Linked DNA regions of Macaca mulatta. The protein of the gene in region 2 purifies or fractionates together with the protein of the main gene of each other region. This does not show direct contact. Links are inferred from orthologs where the notes say so. Each region holds a gene or a part of one and is shown on either strand. Other genes may lie near its edges.

What was found.
Region 1: the proteins of SMAD1 (region 2) and SKI purify together in Homo sapiens (affinity purification with western blotting, with the first as the bait; 3 studies listed by BioGRID). This does not show direct contact. The link is inferred for Macaca mulatta from reciprocal best matches to the Homo sapiens genes SMAD1 and SKI.

The regions. Positions count from the first base shown.
Region 1 is NC_133406.1:238,373,523-238,377,337, forward strand, and holds part of SKI (ski oncogene), read right to left. Parts: intron 3,252-3,815; coding exon 3,126-3,251; intron 2,944-3,125; coding exon 2,828-2,943; intron 2,379-2,827; coding exon 2,110-2,378; intron 1,922-2,109; coding exon 1,629-1,921; intron 201-1,628; coding exon 1-200. UniProt on the Homo sapiens protein: May play a role in terminal differentiation of skeletal muscle cells but not in the determination of cells to the myogenic lineage. Functions as a repressor of TGF-beta signaling.
Region 2 is NC_133410.1:154,118,731-154,122,545, reverse strand, and holds part of SMAD1 (mothers against decapentaplegic homolog 1), read right to left. Parts: intron 3,274-3,815; coding exon 3,052-3,273; intron 1-3,051. UniProt on the Homo sapiens protein: Transcriptional modulator that plays a role in various cellular processes, including embryonic development, cell differentiation, and tissue homeostasis.

The DNA.
Region 1 (3,815 bases), on a different chromosome or scaffold from region 2:
GCCTCACAGCCCTTGTCGCACACCCGGGCCTGCCGCGCCTGCTCCAGCTCCCGCTTCAGGCGCAGCCGGGACTCGTTGGCCTCTTTCATCTTCTTCTCGTTCTCCGCGCGGAGGCGCTCGATCTCCTTCCGCAGGTTCCGCTTGGCCTCGGTGGCCTCCCGCAGCTTCTCCTTCTTGGCCACGCGCAGGAACTCCAGCTCCTGGGGGCCAGGGACGGCTCAGGGTCACTTCCCAGCCGGTCCCAGCGCCGCCCCCCAACCATGGCCAGCAGCCCCCAGCCCGCCCCGTGGGGTCAACCATCTGGCAATGTGCCCTCGAGCCCCGCCCCCAGTGCCCCATCTGTGCCCAACTCGTGTGGTGCCCCCACCCCACAAAGGCTTTTCAGACCCCCATCCTGAGTTTCTGCCAGGCCTGCGGCAGCTGTGCTGCACCTGGGGGCCTGAGTCAGTCACACTTGAGGCTGCAGCAGGGCCCTCCCCTGACATCCAGGGCCATGTTCCCCTTGAGGGCAGCCAGCCAAGTAGGCCCCGGCTCCCACCAATGTGAGGAGGGCAGCCTCAGACGTCGCACCATCTGAGGGCCCTGGGTCTCCCCACGCGGCCAGATGGAGACATCCATCCACTGGGCGCCTCCACAAGCCCCCCGCCTCCCCATGAAAATATCCGTGTGACTCACACCCCACGCTGCAAACACCACATGAATATGCATGTGGGAAATCACACCTCCAACCAGAATCAAGGACAACAGTGGCGGGGGACGCGCTGGGGCGAGGGACTGGCACGCGCAAGGGGGCACGTCGACAACCCTGCAGCTCTGAGGGCCGACGGGGTTGTGTTGTGCTAAAGCCCACGCCGCGGAAGCTGCCAGACACCGCTGAGGTGTGAATTTAGCGAGGCTGGGGCCGGGTGAAGGCCGGGCCACCCGCACACCTCTCCCCGCAGGCAGCCCTGCCTGTGAACTGCGCCTCCCTCAGTCAAGTCAGAAAGAAACCTAAACAACGTAAAAGGAGGCGCGAGACCGGAGCTGCAGCGTGAGAACCGTGAGGCAGAGCCCAGAGAAGCAGCATGTGCAGGTGGGGTGTGCGCGCGGGCCGAGCCCTCTCCTTCCTACTTGGGAGGCCTGGCAGGAGCCGCCTCCTGGAATACCAGGCTTTAGGAAGCACACCCCTCACGCCTGTTTTGCAGAAGCCAGGTCTTGCTGGCGGAGCGCGTGAACACCCACTCCTGGAGCACACAGAGCAAGGAACTGTCTCCGTGCAGCTGCTCCCGACTCTTTCTGCCACTAAAAATAGCCCGGCCTTCTTTATACCAGAGGAACACGGCTACTTCCTTCGTGGGGCCACCACACAGGGTGTGTGATCCTGATGGGGAAAGCTGTGGTCAAGCCAAATGCAGGGGCCTCCTGGGATGTCCATCGGCCTGGGGACACTGAGGGGCTCACCATACCCAGAGCTGCAGCTTTCGGGAGACGGACCCCCAAGGTCCCAGGCAGGCCCACTGAGGTGGAGGCGGAGAGGAGCACATGGCGCAGCCAGGAAGGGAGGAGGCATCACCTGTGCCCGTTCACCTAGTGGAGGCTGTGCTCACCGCCCGCGCCCTGGACCTCCTAGCGCCACCCGCCCTGCTCACCTGGTGGAGGCTGCGCTTGGCCTGCAGGGCTGCGCTGAGCTTCTCCTCCTGCTTCACGCGCATCTTGACCACCTCATGCAGGAACTTCTCTTTGGCTTCCTTGGTGTCCAGGCCGCCCTCCAGCGCCTGCCGCAGGTGCTCCAGCTCCGCCTCCAGCCCACTGGGGGTGTCGGCAGGGGCCGCGGCATCAGGGACGGCCGGGGGCAGGGCACGCGCGCCCGGGGAGCCCAGGTCCTTGGCGGAGCTGGATGAGGTAAAGGACGGGGAAGAGAGCGAGGACAAGGAGGAGGTGACTGAGGAGGAAGCAGAGACAGAAACGAAGTCACGGAAGTGCCCGGCAGCTCCACATCAGGGAGACGCGCCGCTCCCAGAGGAACCTGCGAAACACGGGGCCGCCGAAGCACCCCCAGGCAACCAACCCCCTCAGCCGGTGCCACGCCCACAGCCCACGGCCCACAGGTAGGCACAGAAAGCGACTCACACGTACATTCCTCCCTGCTTTCAACTTCCACCTCGGCCTCCGAGTCCTTGTCCTCCTCTGGGGCAGCCACGGGTGCCAACGTCTCTGGGGCTCCTGGGGTGTCCACAGTCAGCTTCCGCTTCCGAGGCTGGGTGCAAGTGGCGAGAGGCTCGGGGGCCCGGGAGACGGCAGCAGTACATGGAGGGCTGCTCACAACCTTCTGCTGGGCCGGCGGTGCGAGGGCCACGTTGGGGGCCACGGCTGTCTCAAAGCTCTTGTAGGAGTAGAAGCTGGAGAGGCAAACGGGTGTCGGGAAGGTACCTCTGTCCCCAAGAGCCACCCAGACCCATCGTGGCACACACCCGCTCTGAAGGTGTTACAGAGGAAAGACTTTCTCTCCCAGCTCTGATTCTTAAAGTCAAGCTTTCAGTTCCTAAGAACCCATAAGTATTTTCTACTTGCTGGGTATCTCGCACAGGCCAGACACAGGCCGACCACCACATCAAGAGGCTGCGCCCAGCAGACAGGGCTCCACCCACGACTCCACCCAGAACACAGGGAACGCTCTAGGTGTGCTCACCATCATGACGCCAGCCAAAGGAACCAACACTGAGACTGCCCTGACCAAAAGGCGGCAGGTCTGGGCACCCAGCCTGCAGAAACATGGGCGCGTCCGCGTGCACAGCCCTCGTGGGGCCTCCCCCGTGGCCAGAAACACCTGTGAATGGTGCCCACTCACCTGTCTCGGATGAGGGCCGGGAGGTGTGGGGAGAGCTCCTTCTCACTCGCTGACACCGCGGGGGACCAGGGTCGGAAAGCAGAGAGGCGCTGGCGAGGGTGAACACAGCCCAAGCTCTGTCGAGAGAGTCGTCTGTGTGAGTGACCAGGAGAAAAGCCACTTCACGTCCCCGAGGCTGTGCCGGGTGCCAGCCCTCAGTGGGGGGCAGACAGAGCCGCCAGCCGCTGGGTCTGCCCAAGGAGAAGGGCCCAGTACCCACCACCCACCACCCCAAGGACCCTGACAGGCCCCACAGCACCTTATTGGAAGAGCCGGCCAAGGTCCGCAGCCAGCTGGACGGCTTGTCCTTTTCGGAAGGCGCGGGGGACTGGGAAGAGGTGTCATCTGTTTTGGGTCTTATGGAGGCCGGGGGCTCAGAGGAAACCTGCGATCAATGAAAGGACTTGTTGGCACATCTGGTTCCCAGGGCATGGTCCCTCCACCACCCTGTGGCCAGCGTGGCAGTCACAGCCCCAGGCACTCTGGCCATGAAGGACCCTGAGTGGTGCCCAGGGCATGGTCCCTCCACCAGCCCGTGGCCAGCGTGGCAGTCACAGCCCCAGGCACTCTGGCCATGAAGGACCCTGAGTGGTGCAGAAGGCAGATTCCATGGCACCCCCCAGGAGGCTGAGTCCACTTTGCATAAAGGCCCTTGGGTCACGCGCAACAGGTGCATGGAGGCTGTGCTGAGGAACAGGTCATCTCCGACAGAACAAAGCGGACCCTGTCCTGCCATTCCGGGTGACCTCACCCACGGCTGCAGCAGGTTTCAGATGGAGAACCAAGACCCCTTCCACAGCAGCTCAGCCTGGCCCGGAGTCCCTCGTCCTTCTCCTGCCAAACCCCTTTCCAAGAACCCGAGTGTGTTCTCAGAGGGTGCCCATGCTGGGCACTCAGCTCAAACAGCCACAGCGCGGTGAGAGCCACTCACGACAGATGCGTCTGGGAA
Region 2 (3,815 bases):
CATCTGGAACAATTTTAAATAACAGCATTCCAAGAATCCTTATTTTCTTAATAATGTTTTAGGAGGAAATGTCCCATAGTACAATTTTTTTTTTTTTTGCTACTTTGGGATAAGAGTCATCTTTAGAATTTAATGAAAAGTATGTCCTTTCCTCCCAAATGTATGCAAAATGTTGTTTATATACAATTTCAGAGGTTTACAGACCAGAGACAGATACCTATGTATGTTATGAACCTAGGTTCTAGCATTTCATTATTAAATTTATAGTCAGAGTTTTTTCCTTTAGTTATATAAGAAAGTATCTACCAATTCCTGATTTAAGAGTTGGAGTTTTCTTCCCGCAGGATTAAATGTTACACTTTATCTTGAGTGCTTTTAAAGCATCTAATAAATAACCTTTTAATCTGGTCCACTGTTCTAAATTTCACAGGTCACTGTTTCATACTTTTACCCCGGAAATAATTTCAGATTTGTAGAAAAGTTTGAAAGGGAACACAGAAAAACAGAACAAAGAATACCCGTATAACCATTATCCAGATGCATCTATTGTGACAATTTACTCCATTTGCTTGATCGCTTGGGCCCTCTCTCCCCACTGCTGCTGCACACGCACCATGCATGTGTGTGTGTGTCTGTCTGTCTGTATGTATTGTAACACAGGTTTTAGGTAGATAGATGGTGAGTGGACAGGTATCTTTATATACTAATTTATTCCTGAACCACTTCCTTACTTAAGTATTTCCTAAGAATAGGGATTGTCTCTTATATAGCCATAGTATAGTTGGCAATGCTAATACATTTAACATTGGTCTAATCCACCATTCATATTTCGGTTTTGCCTGCTGACCTCAACAATGTCCTTTACAACATTAATATTTTTCTCCGGTTCAGTACAGGATCATATCCAGGGCTAGATACTGCATGCAGGTGTCATATCTCTTTAACTACTTTTAATCTGGAACATTTCCATACCTTTGTCTTTTGACACTGATATCTTGGAAAAATTAGTCCCCCTTCTTCACCCTTTTTAATAGAATGTTTTGAGTCTGTCTGATATTTCCTCAGGATTAGATTAGGATTTGCATTCTCAGCTGGAATCCTGCGTAGGTGATGTTATGGCCTTCTCAGGGTATGACATCTGGAGGTAAATGATACCCATCTGTCTCTCATTGGTGATGATAATTTTGATCTCCCAGTCAAAACTGGGCATCCATCAATTATACAATTACAATTAAAATACAAACGATACAGTTTCTCCACTGTTTAGTTAATGCTTTTTATTCTCCCTCATACTAAAAGGCAGTTTGAGGGTAAACACTCTTAAGACCATGCAAATATACTGATTCTCATACACATTTTCTTTATATTTAGCATCCATTGATGATTCTTGCCTGATCATTACTATGATGGTTGCAAAATGATGATATTCGAACTTTAGCACTCACTCTGTATTTATCAACCAGCCTTCCCCATTCACTTATTTATCTATTTATTATGAGTATGGACTTACGAATTCATATGGTTTTTCAATGGTGTAAAATTCAATGCCATACTGAGGCCAGGCACAGTGGCTCACAACCTGTAATTCCAGAACTTTGGGAGGCCAAGGCAGGCTGATCATTTGAGGTTAGGAGTTCGAGACCAGCCTAGCCAATAAGGTAAAACTCAACGACTCTACTAAATATACAAAAATTAGCCGAGCATGGTGGTGCACACCTGTAATCTCCCAGTTACTGAGGAGGCTGAGACACAAGAATCACTCGAACCTGGGAGGTGGAGGTTGCAGTGAGCCAAGATCACACCACTGGACTCCAGCCTGGGTGATAGGGGGAGACTCCATTTCAAAAAAATATAAATAAATAAAATGAAGTAAAATTCTGTAATTTTACTTCATACTGTAATTATTTGGGGGCTCAAATTGTCTGAGAGTTGGCTCCTGAGGCATGCCCCATGATTTCCATCAGCATTTCTTTACTTTCTGCCATAACAGATGCTCTAGGGTCCTCCTGTGCCTACCTATCCCAGCCTAGGGGTCAGCCATTTCTTCAAGGAGCCCTAGCTCCTTTTAGTGGGACACAGTATTAGTGATGATGATCTGAACACTAGACATGCTTATTGCTACTGGGTATGGAAGCTTCTGGGCCCTTTCAGCAGGCAGATCAGAAACCATACGCACGTAAAAACGCATATACATACGCATACACACGCACATATGTAATACATGAGAACATAAACATACATACACACACACATATAAGTATTATTAAAATCAGAATTTTGCATTGATACCTCTATTCTCCTTCATAGGGTTTAGTTTTTGCTCCCCCCTGCATTTATATGTCTGTCTTCCACAGTGGAAACCCAGGCTCCCAACAATATCCACACATTTAGTCATTTGCTTCATCTTTACATATGAAAGTTTCAGAATGGTTTCACTCATACTGCTATGAAATAATCAAGTTTACTAAAAAGAATTTGGGATTTATTTGAAATCCTACCCCTACTCTATCTATTCCACTCAGCCTAGGCTGAGGATATGGACAGTTGTTCTTATATGGACAGTTTCTTATATGGACAGTTGTTCAATTTGGTGTCCCTGTGAAGGTACATTCACTGCAGGGTTCTATTGTGCCACCTTGCACGATGTTTGTGCTAGAATCTAGTTCTTTCTTTTCTATTTACTGAGTTATGGTATTCATCTGAAATACAATTAAGCAATTAATTTAATTTGCTTTTAATTTTAGGTTGTAATTCATTTTTTAACAGCCAATTTATTCTGTAGCAAAATATCATACAGAATAGTGTCTTAAAATGGCAAATCATAATTTCAAGTAATTAATTTCAATATTATGAGAGTTGATCGACCACAAAAATCACTGACTGCAAGAGCTTCTAGATAGCAGAAACTGGAAAAATATTTACAAACTGCAGCAAGTGAACATTACCTGGTCTTTGCTACACTAGTTTGTTACAGGAATGATTTTAAGTCAGCTCTGGAGGAACAGGGACACAACAGATAAACATCCGAAAGAGGTTAAAGCAAAAACTCACCTTTTCCAATATGCCGCCTGGTGTTTTCAATAGTGGAATTCCGGTTAACATTGGAGAGCAGCCCAAGGCAGAAACGGTTCTTATTGTTGGAAGGATCAGTGAAACCATCCACCAACACACTTGTGGAGGAGGCATGGAAAGCTTCACCCACACGATTGTTGAGCTCATAGTAGACAATAGAGCACCAGTGTTTTGGTTCCTCATAAGCAACTGCCTGAACATCTATAGAAAGAAAACATTATATCAACCAAGGTTAGTGCCTCAGGCTCTCAAAAACTGAAACCGTGTGGTTGAATTGGCTCAGGATCATGGAATGAAGACATTGGAAAAGCAATTGCTATTATAATGTATGCAGTTTTTCTATGATGTTTAAAGCAGGTACTTCTTAACTAAATATGACATTCTCCTTACTCTAATTGGAGAAAATTGGAAAACCATTTTCTCCAGTTACTATCAGATAACCAAAACGCCAGCTAAGGAAGCACAGCAAAAGCTTTTGTTGAATATTAACAATATGCTAATTGCTTTGTAATATGCAGAAATGGAAATCACCCCTACCACAGACTTTGGCTCACCATCTAAAGAAACACAACAAGTGACAAGTGAAAAAATAAGTGGGAAGAGAACAATAGAAGATAGGAAATATGCCAAAGGTATTGGCATAAAAATGAATTACTTTTGGCAAGGCTAAGTATGCCTATGCTTATTCAAAGCAATGAAAATCAGTTTCTAATTATTGATAAAAAGTTACTTTACCTCATATT